Linked DNA regions of Oreochromis niloticus. The protein of the gene in region 1 interacts with the protein of each later gene in a biochemical or structural test. Links are inferred from orthologs where the notes say so. Each region holds a gene or a part of one and is shown in the gene's direction. Other genes may lie near its edges. The genes, in order: fkbp8, apoptosis regulator Bcl-2 and egln1a.

Region 1 (7,116 bases):
TGGTGCATGGAGCCATTGCCGTAGCGTGATTAATGTCAGACTGTACCGTCACTGTGATCTGAAATTCCCTCACATTTTCTCTCTGGGCTGGGCTTCGCTCTGCTTGCTGAGTTTACTGACATACAGAATAAACTAGAAAGAGCTTTGTGTGTACTGTTTGCTGCTGAAGGCTGGTGGACTTGACATGGCATTTAGTTTAAGTAGCTGAACTGCTTTTATATTAAACTGGATAGTGGAACAAGTTAAATATAGTATTGGCTTATCTTTTCTCCCTTGCTCTCTTTTTTTCTCTCTTTACAGTATTCACCCAACATGACGATGAGTGTGTGATTTTTTTTTTTTTTTAATCTTTTATTTTATTTTACTTTTTCATCTCCCTTTATCTCAACCTCCCTTTCCCGTCCACCCTGATGCGTCTTGCATTACCCTCCTCCTCTTCCTCCTATTCGTGGATGGTGTGCTGTGCCACACAGCCCCTGGGGATTCCCCTGGAAAGCAGGATTCCCCTCAAGGCCCCCCATCCCACCAACACCTCCAAACTAGGTGTAAGAACATGAAAAGGCCTCCGAGCAGCAGGAAGGATCTCGTCTTCGCCCCATCGAGGGTCCGAGCGCCGCGAGACCCCGAACCTGCCCCAAGCCTGTCTTTCTCGAACCTGAAATCTGCCTTTGTGGGTGACGTCCAGGCCCAATCGAGACGCCCCTCCGCATTCAGCTCCGCCCCGCCGTCACCCTGTTCTCACATCAAGCTGATTAAAACTGACGAGGGCGCGCAGCAGTCCTCCGACCCGGGGCCAAGAGCCCTCATTTTAAAAGCTCTGCTCCTGTGACAGGATTGGTTAAAAAAGATGAACTGATGATGTCATTTTGGGGCGTGAACGGTTTTCATTCAGTGTTTGTATTTTTTGTTGTTGCTGATATTATTGTTCTAATTTTCATAATTGATATCGTTTGACTAATGTAGTTATGATTTCCTGTAAAGGGCACATTTTCTCTCAGCAGCAGCGTCGACGGTGACAGAATAAGCACACGCTCGTAAAATGCACAATGATTTTCTGTTTATGTGATTTGATTTGTTGTTTGTCTCGTTTCTGCCACCGTCAGCCTCGCGTCACAAAACTCCTTTAGTGTTTGCCTCCTAAATGTGTTCCCCAAACTTCACGGGAAGAGTATCTGGGTAACCGAGGTGGGTTTTCAGGTACAGTGTGTCTGTAGATGCACCTGACGATCACACGTCTAACTGTACTGTCTTAAAAAGTAACCCTTCTCCTAGCTTCCTGCTCTTTTGCTGGTAGAAAATGGCTCCGATGACACCCTGACGTGATTGTCAGGATTGTCAGGTGCCATTTTTAATTCAGAAATTTTGTGAATCCACTCGTCTCCTCTACGGATTGGGTCTTTTCTTTAAATGTAACATATTTAGCTTGTACTGTGTTTTCTTTTCTTTCTTTTTTTTAATTATTTGTTATTTACAAGTCGTCTGTGACTCCTGGAACGTGTTTCCTTACCCTTCATCCTCTTGCTTTGTTTGATTTCACTGCTTTTATGGACTCCAAGTGGCCCCTTTTTCCTCCCAGGATTCATTCTGGTCCATCCAGCGACTCCTTTTGGGCTGGAAGCAAATGTGGGAGACACTCGTTTGGGTTGAAATCACAAATCCTGCTGGGTCCACCTTCTTAACTGTGGGTTAAATACCTGCCTCTGTGGAGTTCCCATCAGAGAGTCCCATATGCGCGGGATAATGGACCCGGGTGAGCGGCAGTGGGAGCGCTGATGATGGGAGCAGAGTTGATTGTAAACCATCTAAAGAAGAGGATTACCTGCAATCAATAAGTTTCTATTTTTTTTTTAATTTCAATTGTATGGAATTGATTAAAAAAATAAAGCCCATAGAATCTGCACACAGACATGTCACAGTCACACAGTACGCTATTTAATTTGTTTCTGATGAACGCTCGCTGTCACCGGTTCAGAGGGTAAACTGTTTCTTTCAGTTGCTTCGCAGCTGTTTTCAAACCAACAATAACTGAGCAACCAGCGTTGCCTCTATGGGTGGTGGTGATGTACTTATCGATTTCCTGATATCAATGTGAACAGTTTGTACGCAGCGTTAAACAGGGACATCTCCAGGGTCTGGGCATCGGTGGCCTGGGGATCACTCAGTCCGGTGTTCCTCCTATGTAGTGACACACGCCTCCCCCACCCCTCCCCCTCCTTCCACACCCCTCACCCTTTGATTTCCCTTTTTGTAAATACTGTATAATGCATTTTGATATCATTGACATGTTTTGATATGTCAGTCACTACCAATGAATACAGCTGAAAGTAAATTATAAATAGATCTGTCCATGTTTTTCATAGTGAAAGGATGCACTATTTGGCTCATGTGGCTAAATTTCTAGAATACAGTAAATATGGCTAAATGTATAGAATACATTGACACACTTAATGCAGACCGTACGCTAAAGGCGTGCGTGGCGGGGAGGACGGGACAGAGAGGAGCAAAGAGCCGCGGCGTCCTCGCTCTGCCCTCCACTCCTCGTGTTTCGGTTTTGAAAAATCATGTGAATAGTTTTTCCAGAAAAACGACAAAAAAGGGCATCTTCTCACAAAAAAAAACATGTGACCTCATATTGCAGTTTTTAATATGAAGGATTTTTATCAATTTAAGAAACTTTTAAAAAGGAAAAAATACTTAAGGAAACCTCATTTTAAATTAAGAAGATCAAAATGTAATACTTATGGGGAAAACTGTGTCCTTTGCTATTCGCTCCTGTAATAGCGTTGTATAGTTTGAAGCTCTCTCACTGATCCTCTCTCAGTCCTCTGTGTATATCGATCGTCGGCCATCTCTGTACTTCTATTGTGATGTATAATACTGTACCATTAGGAAGATTTGCTGGTCGGGCGGGGGGGTTGTATTGAGACGGGGAGGGGTGGGGAATCGGGGTAAGGGCGTATAACGATTCTCCTGTACCGTTCACGGTCCTTTCTGATGACACGGCAGTATTCAATATGAAGCAGTCTGTCTCTTGGGTTTGCTTTGTATTTCATGGTAGGATAGTTCAGAATCTTGTCTTAGGGACTTAGGTGTCTTGTGTAGGTAATAAAGATGTTCTTTGTATGTTTCTTTATATTGTAAAGTTTCTTTAGACTGAAAGAAAAACAGATAATTTGCTTATCAAAAAAGAAACAATGCATCAATAATAAATGTCATTTGATTTTTCCTTGTTGTTTGACTCTCTCTCCCTCTTAGCGCTCATTTAACTCATCTTCCATATAGTCTCGGGCAATCGCTCTTGAGTCATCCCTCGTTTCTTCATATTTTGCTTCCAAAGAGCTGGGCTTATCATTGTTTTGCAAGTGCGCTTGGGCAATAGTCCTGCGGGCTTTCTGAAGAATTTTCTACGTTTTTCTTTTGACATTGTCTGCACAGATGATTCATTCAAGAGAATCCAGGCTGTGCTGAAGAATATAGGTGGTCACACCAGATACTTTAAAGCCTCTTCTGTACTGTATTTCCATCTGTTTTCTACATGTTTTAATAAGGTGCTGCAGTTATTTCCCATTAACCAAGCCCAAGGAGTGACTCAAGACTTTTGCTTGTTCGTGATGATGTTAATCAGTAAAAACATATTTCCACTGGAAACATATTTTTCCTGGAAAACTTTACATCAGCATTGTTTATTTGTGTTTGGATGAAACACATGTCTAGCCATGGTGAATATGTAAATCACAGTTTTAAAATCATTTTTCAGAATAAATCAAAACATTAGAGAGCTGCACACAAAGTCTTCATGTGTAAATTCACCCCTTAAATCACTGATACAAACTGTTTGTTTGTTTTTTTAATTTAATACATTTTGAGTGTTCTTAGCTTTCAGTGTGCTCATCGGTGTTTTAAACTAGCAAAAATAAGTCATTTTATATCATTACAAATAGCAGCTGCAGGCGTACATGGCTGCCTCTGAGGTAAATTATGAATAAGCATGAAACATCCAATAAACGTGCAGGGTCTCAAGGTTAACAGGAAGCAGCCTGCTTGGGGCTGTTAACAGATCGTGGCGAAGTCAGGTTGATATTGGCATGCAGCGACACATCCAGGTCTCACTGGCTTCATGTTCTCCGACAGCAACCTAACTTCAGCACTGCGAGCTAAAGGAGACTGCTCAGAACCAAAACACGGCTCTTCACAGACAATTTCGGGGTAAGCATCCGGTTATTTTGATACAGGCTTTTTATTATAAAATCCCTAACTCTGACTCACTCCACCGGGGATCGGTATAAGCAGTGATAAACACTCAGAGACAGTAAAAAAATTGCTAATTTAATGCTGACAACTAGCAGCTAGCTAGCTGTACATCCTCGGCTAACGTGTGCTAGCAGCAGCCTGCCATCCGTGTGGGAACACATGACAGCAGGGCAACTTGTTAGAAACTTCTGGAAACGTCTGGTGGGCTTTCTTGCTGTAGAACAACAGTTAACAGGTAATGTTGAGGTGAAATCGCATCACGTCACGCCAAAATCGATTAATAATCCTGATCGATTCAGAGCGAAAGCAGGTTTTATTTCAGTGCTGTTAGCCTGTAACAAGCTCAGTGGTGCGTGACTGACAGGGGATCTTTAAACACTGTTTTGAGCTTTAATTTGAATTGGACTCCGTGTTTTGGAAGGGCACACGCATTAAGAGTTAAGCAAAGGATCATTTTTGACGTTGTCTCCCGTCTTTTTTTTTTTTCTTTTTTTTTTTTTTACCAGAGGGGTCTGCTAATGACTGACAGAGAGGAGATTATGGAGTCGGATAGCCACGATAATGCGCAATCAGCAAAGAAGAACAGCAAAACGTCGCTGCTGGACAGCGGAGAAGACTTCGAAGTTTTAGATGAGGAAGACATTGACGACGACGAGCCGCCTCCTCTGGAAGATGTCGGGGAAGGGAAGGTGCAACCCACAAATCCAGAAAATACAAACCCCGACCCTACAGGTCAAGTCGATGAATGGCTGGATGTTTTGGGTATGTAGGACCCATGATGTGCTCCACAGCAGTGTAGGCTGTGCTGCACTTTGCTTGATTAGTGATGGGCATTGAGCCTGATATGGACAGTGGTCAGTGTTGTACATGTGACTGTGTCTGATTCCAGGTAACGGGCAGTTGAAGAAAAAAGTCCTGAAGGAAGGCGAAGGGCGAGACAGTCGACCACAGAAAGGACAGAATGTGAAAATCCGTCTTAAAACGAGCCTGGTGGACGGGACTGTCGTAGAGGAGAAGCCTGATCTTGCTTTCACTTTGGGAGATGGTGATGTAATCCAGGTAAAGACCTGTTAGATTAGTTTATTAATGCTCTTTGCGGAAGTTTGTGTGCAGAGTTTGCACACTTCATGTGTGATTCCTTAATTTTCTGAAGAGAGCTTTTCTTCTTTTCAGGCACTGGATCTGACAGTCCAGCTCATGGCGATGGGAGAGGAGGCACTCATCCAGACTGATGCCAAATATGCATATGGTGCCAGAGGAAGGTAAGGAAGTGTTTGAGGCTGTTTTTCCATGTTGTTATTTTTTGTATTCAAGTTTAATAATGGCCCTCTCACAATGCTAATTCATTTAAAAGTGGGTTTCAGTTCTCTGTCTTGTCCACTTACCTAATGAAGCTTTAGTGACTTTCTGATCACACTTTGGAGAGCACAGGTCTTGGCTTGTGCCACTGTTTCTCACAGTAGTTTCTAGAGTTAAGTGTGGGTTATCGTGGCCGATAAGGCTGTATCGGCACATAGCTAATATTAGCCGATCTGTTGGCGTGGTTCTAGTTAGAGGTTACAAAATGGTTTATCATGAGCTTTATCTTAACCAATTAAAACAGAAGAATCCTTCTACAGCGATGCATAACAATAATAATCTCATGTTGGTTTAATATTATAACAGGAACAGGGAAAACCCAACAATCAAACAACAAAAATCAAAAAGTAATTACCCCCTAAACCTGATAACTGGCTTTTCCACCACCAGGCATTTGTGATGCCTTCAGTGAGTCTTTCACATCACTGTGGAGGAACTTAAGCCCACTCTTCTTTGCAGAAATGCTTTAATTCAGACACACTGGAGGGTTTTCCAGCATGAACGCCTGTTTAAGATCACGCTGAAGCAGCTCAGTCCAGACTTTGACTCGGACACTCCAAAACATTCATTTAGTCTTTCTGAGCCAATCAGAGGTGGACTTGCTGCTGTGTATGGATCATTGCTCTGCTCCCTGATTTCGCTTGAGCTTTGGGACATGAAGTGATTTGCGGACATCCTCCTTCCGGTATGGAGCAGAATTCATTGTTCCCTCAGTTACAGCGAGTCGTCCTGGAGCAGCAGAGCCGCCCAGACCATCACACTACCAGCACTGTGTCCACCTGCTGCTGGGATGTTCTCTTTATGAAACGCTGTTAGTCTGATGCAGATGTAACAGGACTCAAACCTTCCAGAAAGTTCATCTTCTGTCTCATCAGTCAGAAGATTTTCCCAGGAGTCTCTGGGGTCATCCTGCTGTTTGTTGGCAGATGTGAGATGAGCCTTTGTGATCTTCTTGGTCAGCAGTGGTGTTCTCCTTAGGCTCTCCCACTGAGGCCATTTTTGCCCAGTCTCTTTCTTATGATTGAGTCATGACCTCTGACCTTAACAAAGCCAGACGAGGCCTGCAGGTCATCAGATATTGTTCTGGTTCTTCTGTGACCTCCTGGGTGAATTTTGGTGGGCCGGTCACTCCTGTGAAGGTTCAGCACTGTTCCCAGTTTCTCATGTGCGGATAATGGATCTCACTGTGGTTCACTGGAGTCCCAGAGCCTCAGAAATGTCCCTGTAATCTTTTCCAGACTGATGGATGTCAGTGATTTTGTTTCTCAGCTGTTTCTTTAGATCTTTTAGCCTGCGTCACTTTGTCAGACAGCTTCTATTTAAGTGATTCAGCAGGACTGACAGCGATCAGGCCACAGTTCATTTATCATTTAACAAGGGGAACGGTTACTTTTTTTACACAGGGCAGGTAGGTTTAGATAGATTTTTTTTCCCTTAATAAATGATGACTTAATTTATTATTTGATTCTTTGTCGAATATGAAAATTAGTTTAATCTGAAACATGG
Region 2 (7,950 bases), on another chromosome or scaffold:
GCAGGAATGGGGTCTTTTGAAATGAGCGTCATACATTAAGTTCTTGTTAGAAAAGGTTTGATTTGTGACTTGGTAAGAAATCGTCAGAATTTTTGAAGAAGTGGCTAAATTTATGGCCTGCTGTGAATCAAGACACTGTGAACTGCTCAGGTTTTAAAGTGACTGAAGCTGCCTACAATAATGTAATGTACCATGGACACTCTGGTTATAGTATGTATTAATGTAGCCTTCGTTTCTAGAAATTGATGGAAGTGAACTACCTGGGCAGCGTTTACCCAACACGAGCCGTCATAACCACCATGAAGGAGCGAAGAATGGGCCGCATCATGTTCGTTTCCTCCCAGGCGGGCCAGATTGGTCTGTTTGGTTACACTGCCTACTCCCCATCTAAGTTTGCCCTGCGAGGCCTTGCAGAGTCACTGCAGATGGAGGTATGTGTTTTGCAAAAATGGCCTACATACATGCTTGAAGCAATTCTTAGCATTCCTTAGCATAGAATACGAACGACATTCCACGACCAGAAGTAGGCAGGACTGAAGATAAACTTTTCTCAATTTCCTTCAACTGAAGCGACTACCAAGGAGAATGACATTTGATCTGGGAATAAATGCATTAGAGGTTCACCTAAACAGCCAGAGCCTGGAGTGTCCACAAGCACCCAGCCATCATATGCAACAAGCATATCTCTTGCAGTGTGTTTGCAGCTTGAGTGAAGATGATGATAAAGGACATTTCACTAGCGTCAGTGCTGTAATGATTATACTTTTTCTACGTATAGGTAGCATTCAGGCGAACTTTTATTGTCAAAGAGCTGTTGAAATGTTAACGTATGTAGTTAGTTGTCATGGTCTCAGTAGTGGAATTGCTAAGGCAGTTATTGCTTTGTTTTCCTTCTGCAGATAAAACCCTACAATATCTACGTGACTGTGGCATACCCCCCTGACACTGACACTCCAGGACTGGCTGAAGAGAACAAGACAAAAGTATGCAACAGTACAGAGAAATACGTCCTTTTCTTACTTCCTGTTTTTTTTATGTAAATTTTATTGCTGCTTAAATGCTTGTGGTCGTACCCCCACCCCTCTCTCCCTCTCTCCCTCTTTATCCGCTTTCCTCTCCCAGCCTCTGGAGACCAAATTAATCTCTGAAACCTCTGGAGTTTGTCAACCAGACCAAGTGGCCAAAATCATTGTCAGGGATGCAGTGGTAAGAAGCTCGAATCACATTCAGTGCCCAGTTTAAAAATAAGATGTGTGCTCTGTATTTTGTTTGTTTTTTCCTTTGGCAAATGTATCTGCTTGTTTTTCTTTCATCTCACAGCAGGGGAACTTCAACAGCTCTGTCGGTCCAGATGGTTACATGCTATCAGCGCTCACCTGTGGAATGTCACCCGTCACCTCCATCACAGAGGGTCTCCAGCAGGTACAGCCCTGTACATGATATGAAATTGCAGGAGGCAGCGTTCCTCAGCAGATCTGCAATTTTAAGCCTAACCTTTTTATTTTGAAATTCCCGCACAGATTGTCACCATGGGATTGTTTCGGACCATCGCACTTTTTTACCTGGGGAGCTTTGACAGCATCGTGCGCCGCTGTATGATTCAAAGGGAGCAGTCAAAAGCGGCCAATAAGAGGGAGTAACTGCAGCCTTACCTTCACCACACCCCGATGCCCCCAACCCTTTACCCACTGCCCTCCCAGCCAGTCCCTTCCTCCAGCTGTACAAGTGCACAACCATAGGTGGGGGTGGGGTTTGAAAAATAAAAGGCCATGTCAGCATTTCTGATGTCAACTTTAGCAGATGGAATGGAAGAAAGTGGCAGATGTTTACGTGTCTACTCCACAGACTTGATAGCCATTTAGATGTATTTTTTTCTCCCCTGGTGACTTCAGTTTAATGTGTCCACCTGCTTCTTTTTGTGGAAGCAGCCTTACTTTAGAGGAAAGAGGGGTGACTAAAAATCCCACAGCCTGGGTTTTTTTTTTTTTTTTTTTTTGTTCCCACAGAGAAGAAAAGCAACAGCCCGTCTAACCGGTTGTGCCAAATATGGCCTGAATTTTTTTTTTTTTTTCCCCACCAGAGGCTATAGCGAAAACAGAATAGTTGTTACTCTCTTTTTCATCATATTGTGCCGCATGTATCAGAGATTTCCATCTTTTAGAGAGTTTTTACAGTTTTCACTATATAAGCCCTTTCTTTCCCACCTTTTACATACTTCAGGTCTTTGCAGGCAAAGATCCTTCCCTTTTTTCTCTCTCTCTTTTTTTTTTTTTTTTTTTTTTTCTTTGACTGAATAACCTCTGTGTTTAAAAGCGGTCGTGACCCACAGTGTTTTGTTTATGCTGCAGGATATTTTTGTTTGTGTTTGTGCGTGAACTGAGGTCATACATTATACGACAGTACTCTTCAGTGATATCAAAGGGCAGGAGAGAGCTTGTTATGTTTGTCTTTAATTTTTTTAAATCTATAATGCATAAAATAATCTCCACATATTATCATTATTATTAATAATAGTGATAATATTCCAAAACTTTACATGCAGCGTTGTCGCTGAAAACCGTGTGATGTGAAAGTGTGTTTGCTGTGACTGAGCCGACCACCTCCGGAAAGAGTAAAGCCATTCAAAGTTTTTGTCTCGGGAATAAAGACAGCAAAAACGTTTTCCTCGTCATTCCAGCTAAATGAAGAAAGTAAAGCAGGTACTATGGGTTGAAGCCATGAAGTCGTAAGATTAGGGTGGGAGGGGATACACAAACAAATAAACCAGCACATAATTTTAAGTTTCACTCGTGCACTTGTCAGTTTAATTTAAAAAAAACAAACAAAAAACACTAATAAGTTGCTAAAGGAAGCATGAAGCGTATCATTTTTTACTTGCAGTTTTGTGTGTCAGTGCACATTCTCAGCCACCCCCAGTGAAGATGCATAATCTGTCAGGTTGGTGTAACTCAGAGATGGGCGCGACTCGCTGGATCGAGTCATGTCTCTGTACGTCTAGTGAGGGCGCTGGTGAGTCATCTTATATAATGGCCAAACTTTTGGAGGAACAAGAGTGGAAGTGTTATCCCTCATCTCTACGATGCTCTTTTTTTGTTGTTGTGTTGTTTTGTTTTTTACATGCACTGACGCTGTCGTGCACTGCTGGGACTTCAAAACTCTCTAGATTACAAAATATCGATTCCCTTCTGATTTGTGTCAACTCTTAGTTACCATCTGACTTTCTTATTGTTTTGGATGCAAAAGGAAGAAGAAAATACAATGTTGACTCTTGCAAGTCTTCCTTTGGTCCAGTCGGAGAGAATGTACTTTATAGCAAAGCGATACGAATCAGAACGTAGGAACATTATTTTTTAAATACACCAATATTTGAATGCCAAAATGTGTTAAGACAATTTCTTGAGATCGCAGCACATTTCTTTGTGGTTTATTTTGATGTCGCTGCTCTTTTGATCTTAGTGTTACTTAATAAAAGCTGGATAGCAGCATGTGGCCCATTCTACAGCCTTAAGACGTGACTACTGATGAAGCGAACGCTATGAGAGTGGACCCGTCCGCAGAACAATGTGACTTCATACATTAGTGGATGATTGGTTTACCGGGTGATTTTTTTTTTTTTTTTTTTTTTTTTTTTTGTGACTTATTTGGTGTGAAATGCCAACTGTTTGGGGGGTTTTGTGTGTTTGTGTGTGTTTGGTCAATTTCTAGTGTTTCTATGACAAAAGAAGCCTTACTGAAATCCAAGACATGAAAGTGAGAATGGATGACTCATGTTTGATGATGTTCTCATTTGATATTGGTTAAAGGCGTACTGTCCCGCACTTCAGAGCTTTCCATAAATGTACATTTATTGCTTTAAGAAGGTTTTTCTTTTTTTTTTTTTTTTTTACCTTGAGGTAGCAACACATTGATGGATAGAACATGTAGCTCATGTAAAAGCAGTTTTGTTTTCACTAACACAACTTTAAGCTATGCAAATCAAGCCTCTGCTAACAATATGTTTAAACATACAGTAAAGATTTAAGTTCTGTAAGAGTCACGCTAGTTTCCCTCGTTTAATGGTGTCATTGTCGGATGCTCAATGGATTTAAAAGTCTTGAACATGTCATACTGCACTCTTTGGTTTCACGCTTTTTTTCTGTTTTCTTTGCTTTATACTCTTTCTGCCAAAAAAGCTTAACACCTTCACCTTGTGTGCCATTGAAAGAAAATGTGAGGAGTGGAACATTTCTTTGTCTTATTTTCTTACATGATAAACTAAATAAATACCTGTGAAGAAAACCTAAATCCTTTTACTCCTGGGTGTCCTTGTCTCTTCTTAAATTGCTCCAGACCTCTTAGACTGAACTTGCCTTAAGAGGGGGGGGGAATTAAATTAATCTCAGTATGATCGAGGTTCATAAGTTTTGACAGTGCAGGGTTTGTGGAGGACTGAGGACGTTAAGTATTCTGTTTGATAGAGGATGACATTTAATTTTTTCATAAGGGAACTTCCCGAAGCAGCAGCAGCTCTCGGGTTTGCAGAGTGCAGGACTTTAGATGCTTCGTTAGACCTGTTGGAGAATAAGTAGATGACAAATAGGGGAGATGCTTTAAAAAAGATGAGAAAAGTTTAAAGAAGACAGGGAAAATGTAGAGTGGTGCATCAGTTTTGCACTTGTAAGGTCTGTGTCCACAAGGGGGTGGCTGGACTACATCAAAGCAATCCCTCGCTGGGGTGGTCCTCTGCCCCTAACCCTGTGATCTTTTAAGATTTCTGTCTTCTATCATAAAAAATATCTAAATCTTAAAAATATTCTTGTTTATATAATTTTCTGGGTAACGTGGTCTGCCTTAAAACGAGGACGCAGTATGCAGTAATAATAATATGGCCTATAAATGGTTTGAGCGCAGTTCTTGGTGTGCACTTGGAGCAGCCAAAGGAAAGACTTTCCGCAGCTGACGTCAGGCATACCTCACTAAACAGTGCGGCCCACTAGCGGTGAACAGGGAGCTGCTTCGGAGGATATGTGGAGCAATCGTGGAAGAGGACTCCAGTCCGACCTTGTCTGGCGCACAGTCCCGCGTCTGGTTCGTGCGTAAGGCTGCTAAAACAGTTGGCCGCCTTTAAAACCCCTTCAGGCGTGAACAACTTTGGCTTTCATTCATATTTTTTTTTTAATCGCAACACATCCACGTCTGGGTGATGTGCACAGAAATAGAACAACACTACTCCCAACCTCTTCCGCATATTGGATTTCTATGCAAAGAGAAGGTCGCCAGTGTCCCTCCAAGGATTCGGGAAATGAAGACTGCTGCTGACACGGAACCAGCCTGTTTTGACTTCTAGTGCGTGTTTCTGTGCAGTTTTCTTCAAGGGATTTTCCCCGAGTTCACGAGTAAAGTATCTCCTCTCTGTGTGGGATAATTCGCTGCATTATCTATTTGAATACAGCCCCAGCTTTTTGGACGAGCCTGTGCAGAGCATTGTACGGTGCACACATTTGGTCAAAATGCATTTTATTTAGGATAACCACTGGATATACAAAGTGCCAAATTTGAGCCGGAATGGCGAACGAGTATAATCGCAATATTGTGGAAAAGTATATCTGCCATAAACTCTCCAAGCGGGGATACGTGTGGGGATTTCGCGTTGTCCAAGAAGAAGATGCTGCTAATAACGGATCGATAACTGACCCTCCACCGACTTTGGTCCACCGGTGCCGAGAAGCCAGCACCGGGCCTGACGGCGAGAGCAACACCCACCTCTGCAGACGGCTCCCACAGTCCGACCCACACGCAGGCATCCACAGAGTCCTGCGCGAGGCTGGAGATGAACTTGAAAGACTGTACCAGCCGGACTTCACGGAGATGTCGCGGCAGCTGCATCTCACCTCCGCCACGGCGCAGAGGAGGTTCGCCGAGGTGATAGACGAACTGTTCCGGGACGGAGTGAACTGGGGCCGGATTATTGCTTTCTTCGAGTTTGGGGGCACGGTGTGCGTGGAGTGCGCTTCCAACGAGGGGATGTCATCCCAGGTGGACAACATCGCAGACTGGATGACGGAGTATTTAAATGGACCTCTTAACAGCTGGATACAAGATAACGGGGGATGGGTATGTCTGATTCCGTGTAGTTGAGCGCTTTGCAGCAGTGTGCCAAGGGTTCGCAAAAGTCCTCTTTTAACTGTGATTAAAAGGAATTTCAGTGAGTGAGTTCGGTCAGTGTAGGCCTACACGTTTGATTGAGCTGAAAAGTGCATTTTGATCTGGCTTAACGGGGCTCAATATCGAAACCACATGTGTAGCTGATCATTAAAAAAAGAAAAGTCCCTTTTAAGATGATCTCGTGACGCACGACAGGCAACGAGCGAGATGAACGGCTTTACTTTACTTGCTCTAACTGGCTGATCTCGTTGACTGTTAAACTTACTCGACCAATCAAACAGCGGTTTCTCTATCACACCTCCCGACGCCTCTCTATAAAAAACCCGCCCTGTCAACTGTAGGAGCAGAGGCAGACGCGCAGCTGTCATTGGAGCACAGGGGTTATTATCTAAGGGGAAGTAAAAGCTTAGTTATAAAAAGAAACAGGATTCTGCGTGTGGTGTTGGAGAGAGAGGCCATTTCACCATCCACCTGTATCTGAATCTTCATGCACGAAAGTGCTTCAGTCCCGCTGTCACGTGATGCATTGCAGGCCCTCATTCTTGCAGAAGGGAGGAGGTCAGACACATGTCAGCAAAGAGCAAACTATTGAATTAATGTGTTTAGGCCTCTGGGCATAACTGGACAGGGTTCAGCTTATCAGAGGCCTTTTTTTGGCACAACACACACCTGGCTGAATGCATGCCCACACTGAATCTGAAACAAGCATGCATTGTCATATTCATTTTTCAGGTTTTTGTTACAGCTGCAAACTCTCCTGCAAGAAAAAAGGGGGGTTGCTGTGCACCTCAGTAGTCACCAAAACTGACTTGCAATGAATTAACCTTTAATTAGCCGAGGTGCTCTTAATGAGAGCATAACGTTTGCACTGCCTGGTTATCTTAGCTGGAAGGTATCATAAAAACGGGGCGTGTGTTGAGTGGGCTTATCAATGATTCATATCGAATGTTTCATCTCAAAGGATAGGACCGTTTAACATTCCCCTTGAGTCTGCCTTGCCCCTGGAGGTGGCAGGTTGTGCCACATATCAAAGGGAGGCAACAGAGGGAGGGCCCTCCAAGAACACAGAGTGCTAATCTGCAGCCACTGTGTTTAACATGCCGTCCTCTGTTTGCATCTTGGTTGGGACTCTTTTGTCTGCCTTTTTCAGACCTGTGCCTTGAAGCTGGCGCAGACTGGGGCCGCAGAGATGCCTGCTCGGGGTCTCTGGAGCCCACTGTAGAATAATGTAGGTCATCATAGTTTGGGTTTTACAGCTGGGTGGAGATGACTGTATCTGTGCATCCACTGGAGAGAGACAGACAGAGAGAGAGAGAGAGAGAGCAAGAGCACAGTTCTTTAATCCAAAGGATTATTTAGGATTATTTGAAAGCATATGTCTGCAGTATGGGGAATGAATAACCTCATCCAATTAGTTTTAAGCTCAAAGTAGGCTCTAAAACAGTTTAATCCTGAATATGTTAGTGTTAGCTCAGTTTCTGTTGTAGCTTCCGCATATGCAGCCATGCACCGGTGTTGATTTATATTCATCTGAACGGGTGTCAGGTAGGGAATTTCCTGAGGTGTGTGCTTCAGTTATTGCATGACCTTTAATAACTGACGTTGCAAACACAGCGTTGTCTGTACTCTGGATTGGGTTTGTGAAAACTGGCTTTGCAGATGTTGAAATGTAATAAAAGTCAACTGTGTTTTCAGTCTGTGAAACAAAGCTGGGGGTTTTTTGCTATGTTTTGTCTCCTCTGGAGCCGAAACGACGGCCTGTTTTACACTGACGTGTTTGTGTTTTTGTATGTTTTTGAGAATGTC
Region 3 (7,233 bases), on another chromosome or scaffold:
TTCAATTGTGACGTCGCGACTAATCTTAACAAGACGCTCATATTTGTCATGTTTGGTGTCGAGCTCCTGTTGGAAACCTTGAAATACACAGAGAAATGTTTCAGTGCAGGCAATATAACATTGAAACCATTTGGGTGCAAAGTGCAGTGAGAATACTGCTGTTACCTTTGAAGGCAGCCATGACAGACGAGGGGTTGGCACTCATTTCGTGCTCCTGTGCTGCATCTGCATTTCTCCGTGAACACCCCTCACCTGACAGTAGAGATGATGTCATAGTCTTTAAATAATAACTGCCTCTGACTTTTTGGTAAATTGAAAAAACATACAATAAATCTAACTCCCAGAATTCCACAATGACAAATGAAATGCAGTAAAAAAAAAAATAAATAAATAAAAATAATAGAGAACCCTCTTTAAAATGTGGTTGGAATATTCAAGTGACCCAAAATATAACCTGCAACAGCTGACATGATCTGTTGATATCTTAAGAAGAGAATGCCTAAATTCACCTTTTTACTTATAATTATTAAGCGCCTGCTTGGATTGATGGCCAGTAGGGATGAGAAAAAATATGGACACAGCATAATATCGTGAATTTGTATCGCTACAGGGACACCAAATATCAATATTTTATTAAATAAATTAAAATACTTAAGGAATACTAAAAATGAGACGGCTCATCTCATGCACCACTTTGAAGAAACATCAAACACTGGACACACTTGGCTTGACAGTCACACAAATAAAATAGGACAGTAAATTTCTTGTATGTACAAAAAAAATGACAACAACAGTGGCTGCCTGGTGAGATTTTTCCCATTCAGCAGCCAATGGCAACTTGTAGTGACCAAATGGCTGCTCAGAGTTTGAGTGCGTGAGTGTACAGATTGCATGTAATTGCCAACTTGACCCCATTCAATCGGAGACTGATAGAAACATTTATGGCAGATTTTAGTGACAGTGTTGGCACGCATTATAATCTCGCTTTTGCAGCAAAAAAATATTGAAAGTGAGTTAACTTTATTTAAAATGATGCATACACTGCAGTTGAAAAAGACAAATGTGATACTTAGCGTAATGCAAAACGTTAAAAAAAAATCACAATACTATTGTATCGTAGGTGACGTATTATGATGATATTCTCTTGTGGGGTTTCTCGTGATTCCCACTTCTAATGGCCAGACAAATAAAGCACTAGTATGTGCTTTAGATATTTTAATGGAACAGGATTAGCACTTTATTACTTCTGTTACTACCATGAAATGATTTCATTAACCTGACTTAGGCAGAGTAGGTAGGTTAAAACGCTATCACATGTTAGTCCTACTGTTATTTTAGCCTCGCTAGTTAATTACAAAACTCATGAAACTAGAAGGAAGAAATCTTGGACTTACCTTCTCGTTTATTCATAGCTTCGGTGTTGTAGTGCACAGTTTTTAGGGGTGTATTTTAACCACTAACGCCAGTGCCAGTCAAACGTAAAGGTTGAGCATTATTACAAACAAAGAACAAAATAGTTCCGCTTTACGCAGAAAAAATAATGTTCTCTGGACGATGGAAAACAAAATTAGTAGAGCCTGCATATATTTTAACGCGAATAAAACGGTGTTTTCTTGGTTTTAATAACAGGCATTGGTGCGGACCTCAGTCCATCGCGGGGCTTTTGCGCTGTTTACACGCGTAGCAGGAAATTCAAAGAGATGCATCACGGGATACGTAGTTAAATGGCAAAATCAGGAGTTAGTTTTATTACAATGTTTTCCTTATTACTAATTTTTAAATAATTAAATAATTTTTAAATAATTAGAATCTGATTTTAGAAAGTAGCGAAAATATCTGGCGTAATTATATAACAATTGCATTTATAATAATAACACAATTTCTTAAAAACAATACAAACATATAATAGCTACATTTATAATAATTACATAATAATCGCTTTTTATGACGTTATAAACGTTATAACTATTAGGTAAGTTCTTGAAGATGCCATGTATACTAATTAGATATTCCCATACCAAATTTAAAAAGAAAGGTGTGCCACACAGAACTTTCTCTTTCCAGTCAAAATTCAAACGTAGAAATTCTCCAGACTATCAACCTAAAATAACAGGTATCTTAGATATTCCATCGAATATCTAAATCAACGTTTAGCAGATTACTTGTCTTTTCAACAAAAAGTTCCACCCTGACTTCTTCCACAGATGAGTGAAATGTCTTTACTGGATGCCCTGCAGATGTGATTTGTGATTGTTTTCTGTTAACCATCTGTGCATCTTTTTGAATCTTGGCCACTGCTGTGTGATGCTTACTGCATACGTTTGTTTTCATTCATTTTTCATGATTATTTTCACGTCTCAATTTAAAATTTGGTGTCTCCCTGTGGTCATCTAACATCACCGAGAAGTTGTTTTTTCACTTGTGATACTTCTTTCATCTTTTTACAACCACTCTCTTGGGATAAATGTACATATCATCACGTTTGGGTTTACTATCTAATTTTGAGTGACAATTGGGGTATTTATTTATTTTATTTATTTATATTTTCTATGTGTCATTGTTGTAACTTTGTATCTCTTTAAGTTCACTTTGTGTCTCATTTTAGTCATTTTACATCTTCGTATTGACATTTGGTCTCTTTACTACCGTTTTACATCTCTTTGGTGTGTCATTGTGGATGATTGTTTTGTGTATATTATATTTGTGGAATGAGACCAGGACCCAGATGAAAAAAACAAAACAATGTAACTTATCGTTGTGATGAATGACAGGTGTTTGTCATAGAATATTTATATGAGTATCTCCATGCTTCATAAAATTTAAAATGTTATCCATTATGGCTTCCAGTAAGTGATTTAAGTCACCGGTCTGTCACAATCCTAAGTTTCATAAACTGCACACCACCCAACTTATCTGTCTATCATAACAGCAGCAAGCTCTTTAACTTTTTGTTTGTGCGAAAGGAATTTCACCTATGCGAGCCAGGAATGAGAGCACAACACATTGCTGCTGACTGGAGATGCCTTCAGGTGCTCCCTTCAAGCTCCTACAAACTGATTTGTGCCAAAAACTGGTTTCCGATTCTTCTGTTTTTATTATGTCTTTTTTCTCATAAATAGACTATAGTCAACAGGAGTCACGAAGGGGTTATATATAAAACGAAGAAACGACTTGTTCTGCAAAAAATCTTTATGACTCCATCTTATTGCATCAACATCATGATTATAATCCAGTCCCTTTTGGCCAATTAAAATATCTTTATAGAAGTGTGATGTTAGTTCTTGACATTTTAATTTTAACGACATATTTGACTTGCTTAACATCACAAGGTGACAGGGCTCAAAACGATTTGCTATCATTCATGAGTGGTATGTTTAGCAGATTATTAGTCATTTGCAGCAACGTAAATACCTCCAATTATGTTTTTATTTTTATTATTATTTTTTTGGCACATAACAGAAATCACTTTTTGGCACGACACAGGTTTTTAGATGCTTCTTTTGCTTAATATAGAATAATTACAACAGCACAACCACACTCAGGTAGACAAATGCTCATCAGAATCTGGTTTCTTACTTTATGATTTAGGCTATATGATACTATTGCTTCGATAGGAAATGCGCACAAAACGAGTCAGTGATGCTTGAAGCAACACTTGCCATATGGCTATATCTCTTTTGCTTGTCCTTTCCACAAATCTGTAAGCGGTTTGCGTCAAATTTAAATGACAGCGCTACCTTTAATTTGCCATTACACAGTATTGCAGTGTTACAGTATTGGGGAAAGTAATAAAGAAAGCAACATTGGATTTATAACCTATTATACTGGATTGTGTACTCAAAGTATAAAAGTGCATTTATGTCCTTTCAGTCTGTTGCACATTTTGCATGTCGGATTTTTATTTATACCTATTACTGCATGGTTGGTGGAGCTAATTTTCTGCACTGTTAGAGAACATGAATATATTGCATAACTGAAACAGATAGGGTAACATATTTACATCACTTTTTACTGACTGACCAGAGGCGCATGCTCCCTTTATACCCCCGACAAGACTTGAACATGAACTTCCACGTGTCGCGAGCACGCCACTTTTTCACCGCCAACTGTCTGTCCGACCGCACCTGAAGGCAGCACGAGAGAGGCGGTGCCTTTGTGCTGACGTCAGAGCGGGCCGGTCCTCGGGCAGGGCTGGCTGAGCACACTCTGAGCGGCGCCATCCATTACCCCGGGAAGTAGAGCTAGCTTGCAGAAATGCCTCCCAAAGACCTCGACCCACCCCTAAATGCTGGTCCGTGGGCGCACGTTGTCGTGTTATTCCACTGACACACGAGGCAGAAAAGGACATGAGTGCGATAAAATGGCTGGGTTTTGAGTGTTTGGTTCCCCTGGGTATCAGCGTGGCAGCGGCGGCGGGTCGTTTCCAAAGTTGTCGATTAGCAAGGCGCGTGAAGGATCGGTATTAAAGGAGCAGTACGCCTCCTGTATCCTCAAAACATGGAGAAGCCGCAGAGCGAGCTGGACCGAGACCGACAGTACTGTGAACTTTGCGGGAGGTTTGATAACCTTCTTAAGTGCGGTAGATGCCGCAGCTCCTTCTACTGCAGCAAGGAGCACCAGAAGCAGGACTGGAAGAAACACAAGCTCATTTGTAAGGAGGCGGACAAGCCGCAGCTGCCTGCACAGAAGCCCGAGCAGGCACCGCAGCCTGGGGACGACGAGACGCCTGAGAAATGTCGAGAAGAGCAAAGCCCCGAGGAAGCGGACAGTGCAAACACAAGTACAAACACAAAAGCACTGAGAATTGAAGTGAGAGCTGAACATAATAGGTCTGACAGCACTGCCACACCTAACGGACAGAGCAGCTTATCCCCGCAGAAACTTGCCTTGGAGTGCATAGTGCCGTGCATGAATAAGCACGGCATCTGTGTGGTGGACGACTTTTTAGGAGCAGAGATCGGGCTGGGCATTCTTGAAAATGTCAAGGCCCTGTACGAAACTGGCAAGTTCACGGACGGTCAACTGGTGAGTCAAAAGAGCGACTCCACTAAAGACATCCGAGGTGATAAAATCACGTGGATCGATGGCAAGGAGCCCCACTGCGAGAGGATCCAATTTCTAATGAATCGCATGGACGACCTGATTAGACATTGTAATGGCAAACTGGGAAACTATACGATAAATGGAAGAACAAAGGTAAGTACGAAGCACACGCGCACACTGCGCATCTACTGCATTCATCCCCCAGGAGCCAGAGGCTTGCTGGTGTGACACCTGCCACACACACTACAAGGTCAGGAAAGCAGCAGTACTCTGGCTGCGTGGGGATGAAATCAAAAGTACCACAGATTTCTAACAGGGATGCATCATTCTGCAGAAGCTTTTTTTCCTCCCACTTTGTCGTTAAGGTGCTATTAGGTGTAATAGATCAGCCCTGTTTGCTAATTAGATTCGACTTTGCGGGTTAGAGGCTGCCGAGTCCTCTTCTGGCTTTGCTCTGAGTCAGAAAGGTGATTGCTGGTGCTGCTCACATGTTAATGGTTTTGTTTTGGACGCATGAAGAGTGTGCACAGACAGCGCACGTGTTCGGTCGCCATGGCAATAGAAAGACACCCTCAAATCATTGCTTTAAATAAACGCAATACCTCAACCAATAAGAAAGACTAAATTTGGATAGATCACGTGTCTGCAGCATCTTTGAATCAAATGAAATCCAGCTGAAATCTAATGAAAGCAAAGCACGAGGCACATTGTTGTCTCGTGGCTTTTTCTAGCAAGCAGCTGCAAGCATATGCCATGCTGGACTGTTTATTCTAGCCTAAAATGATTTAAAAAAAAAAAAAAAAAGTATATTAGATGTGTAAATACTTGAGCTTTCTGATGCCTACAGAATATATTCCTTAATCCATATTATCCATAGATTACTGCTCAAATCCAGTCCTCACTTCTACAGGTTGCACTCAGTTTCTTAGTTATTATGCAAAGTAAATGCACCTAAGACAAAAACTGCTAAAATCCTCCCTCCATTAAGTGTGTATTGTTCATATTTTGAATGACTATTGGTTTTTAGATGTGTTTCGTAGCTGTTTAATTATGTTTGGTGCTCTATTTAAAATAAACGTGATGGGGAAAGAATCAGATATAGAAAGCACAGTCTCCAAATCAGGGATCAGATTTCGCTGAAAGCACCTTAGTAAGCAGTGAATAGCGGAGCTATTATGTTGTGACAGACTGCGTTAGTTTCAGGAAGGTCATTCTGACCAGTGAGACGACTAACACAGCTAACACATGCTGCCACATCCACAAACAGCAAAGACAGTCCAGCTCATCAGAGTGTATATATTGCATTCATATGTTTGTACTTTAGCTTTTGTTTTTGGTAAAATGTGAGTGATGTGAAGAAGCTGCAACCATGTGGCAGAAACCAGCCCGAGGCCCCATTCTACTGAGAATTTACTGCGGCTCACTATGACCTCTGACATCGCTTTAGTGGTGACAGGTTGTGGTGATAAGTTCAGTGTCACGCACAGACGTATTTGGTTAGGCAGCATTCCCATACTGAGAAGAAAACCTGTGTGTTTCTGGGGGAAGAGGAAGCTGTGGGTAGCTTCTGTTTCACTAAAATGTGTTTTCTAAGAACTTGTTTTTAATTGTCGGATGTTCTCGTTTTTTCAGGCTGAGCTGCTAGGGTTCAGAAGCTCTCCTGGCACCTGGTTTGTTTTTTCCTAACTGTTAGTGCTGTCTAGTGGATAAAGATGGTTGCGTGTGACCTGCGACTCTTGACAGATCTGGTCACCATGGCCTTATAGCATGAGACTGCTTCAGGAGAGGACGAGGTGCTTTCCGGCTTTCTCCTCTTCCTCCTCTTCTCCTGAGGGAAATTCTCTGAAAGCTATAGTCACTATTAACTAGAAGTTTAGCAACATCACTTTGAATCTGGCTAGAAGCAAAAAACACTAAAGCAACGGGCCTTTTATTATAATATTAGAGAAATAAACCAACTTTGTAGTCACACAGTTGATGGAGTGGATGGAGCCATCACAAATATCTGCTCTCTTGGTTGAGAATAAATAAAAGCTGCTGGACTGTGAACATTTTTTTAATGATTTTAGTTAATATTATAATCTTGATTGTTTAATATAATTATTTATTAACCTAAACATCAAGCTGTTTGAGATTAAATCAGTTTTTCAGAGCGATTTCTTTAGTTTTTAAATCTAATTCAAAATGAAA

Evidence for each region.
Region 2: the proteins of fkbp8 (region 1) and apoptosis regulator Bcl-2 form a complex in vitro, tested with the Homo sapiens proteins (4 studies listed by BioGRID, with this or other methods). The link is inferred for Oreochromis niloticus from reciprocal best matches to the Homo sapiens genes FKBP8 and BCL2.
Region 3: the proteins of fkbp8 (region 1) and egln1a form a complex in vitro, tested with the Homo sapiens proteins (2 studies listed by BioGRID, with this or other methods). The link is inferred for Oreochromis niloticus from reciprocal best matches to the Homo sapiens genes FKBP8 and EGLN1.

The regions. Positions count from the first base shown.
Region 1 is NC_031986.2:34,623,089-34,630,204, reverse strand, and holds the start of fkbp8 (peptidyl-prolyl cis-trans isomerase FKBP8), read left to right. Parts: upstream 1-4,033; 5' UTR 4,034-4,206; intron 4,207-4,267; exon of another isoform or gene 4,268-4,486; intron 4,487-4,757; 5' UTR 4,758-4,769; coding exon 4,770-5,013; intron 5,014-5,140; coding exon 5,141-5,310; intron 5,311-5,424; coding exon 5,425-5,513; intron 5,514-7,116. Other genes in the region: ssbp4 (single-stranded DNA-binding protein 4), read left to right, coding at 301-330. UniProt on the Homo sapiens protein: Constitutively inactive PPiase, which becomes active when bound to calmodulin and calcium. Seems to act as a chaperone for BCL2, targets it to the mitochondria and modulates its phosphorylation state.
Region 2 is NC_031982.2:16,825,768-16,833,717, reverse strand, and holds the start of apoptosis regulator Bcl-2, read left to right. Parts: upstream 1-4,916; 5' UTR 4,917-5,544; coding exon 5,545-6,093; intron 6,094-7,950. Other genes in the region: kdsr (3-dehydrosphinganine reductase), read left to right, coding at 240-431, 900-983, 1,123-1,206, 1,321-1,422, 1,521-1,640. UniProt on the Homo sapiens protein: Suppresses apoptosis in a variety of cell systems including factor-dependent lymphohematopoietic and neural cells. Regulates cell death by controlling the mitochondrial membrane permeability. Appears to function in a feedback loop system with caspases.
Region 3 is NC_031978.2:23,833,272-23,840,504, reverse strand, and holds the start of egln1a (egl nine homolog 1), read left to right. Parts: upstream 1-4,150; 5' UTR 4,151-4,497; coding exon 4,498-5,196; intron 5,197-7,233. Other genes in the region: tsnax (translin-associated protein X), read right to left, coding at 1-77, 166-252, 1,395-1,410. UniProt on the Homo sapiens protein: Cellular oxygen sensor that catalyzes, under normoxic conditions, the post-translational formation of 4-hydroxyproline in hypoxia-inducible factor (HIF) alpha proteins.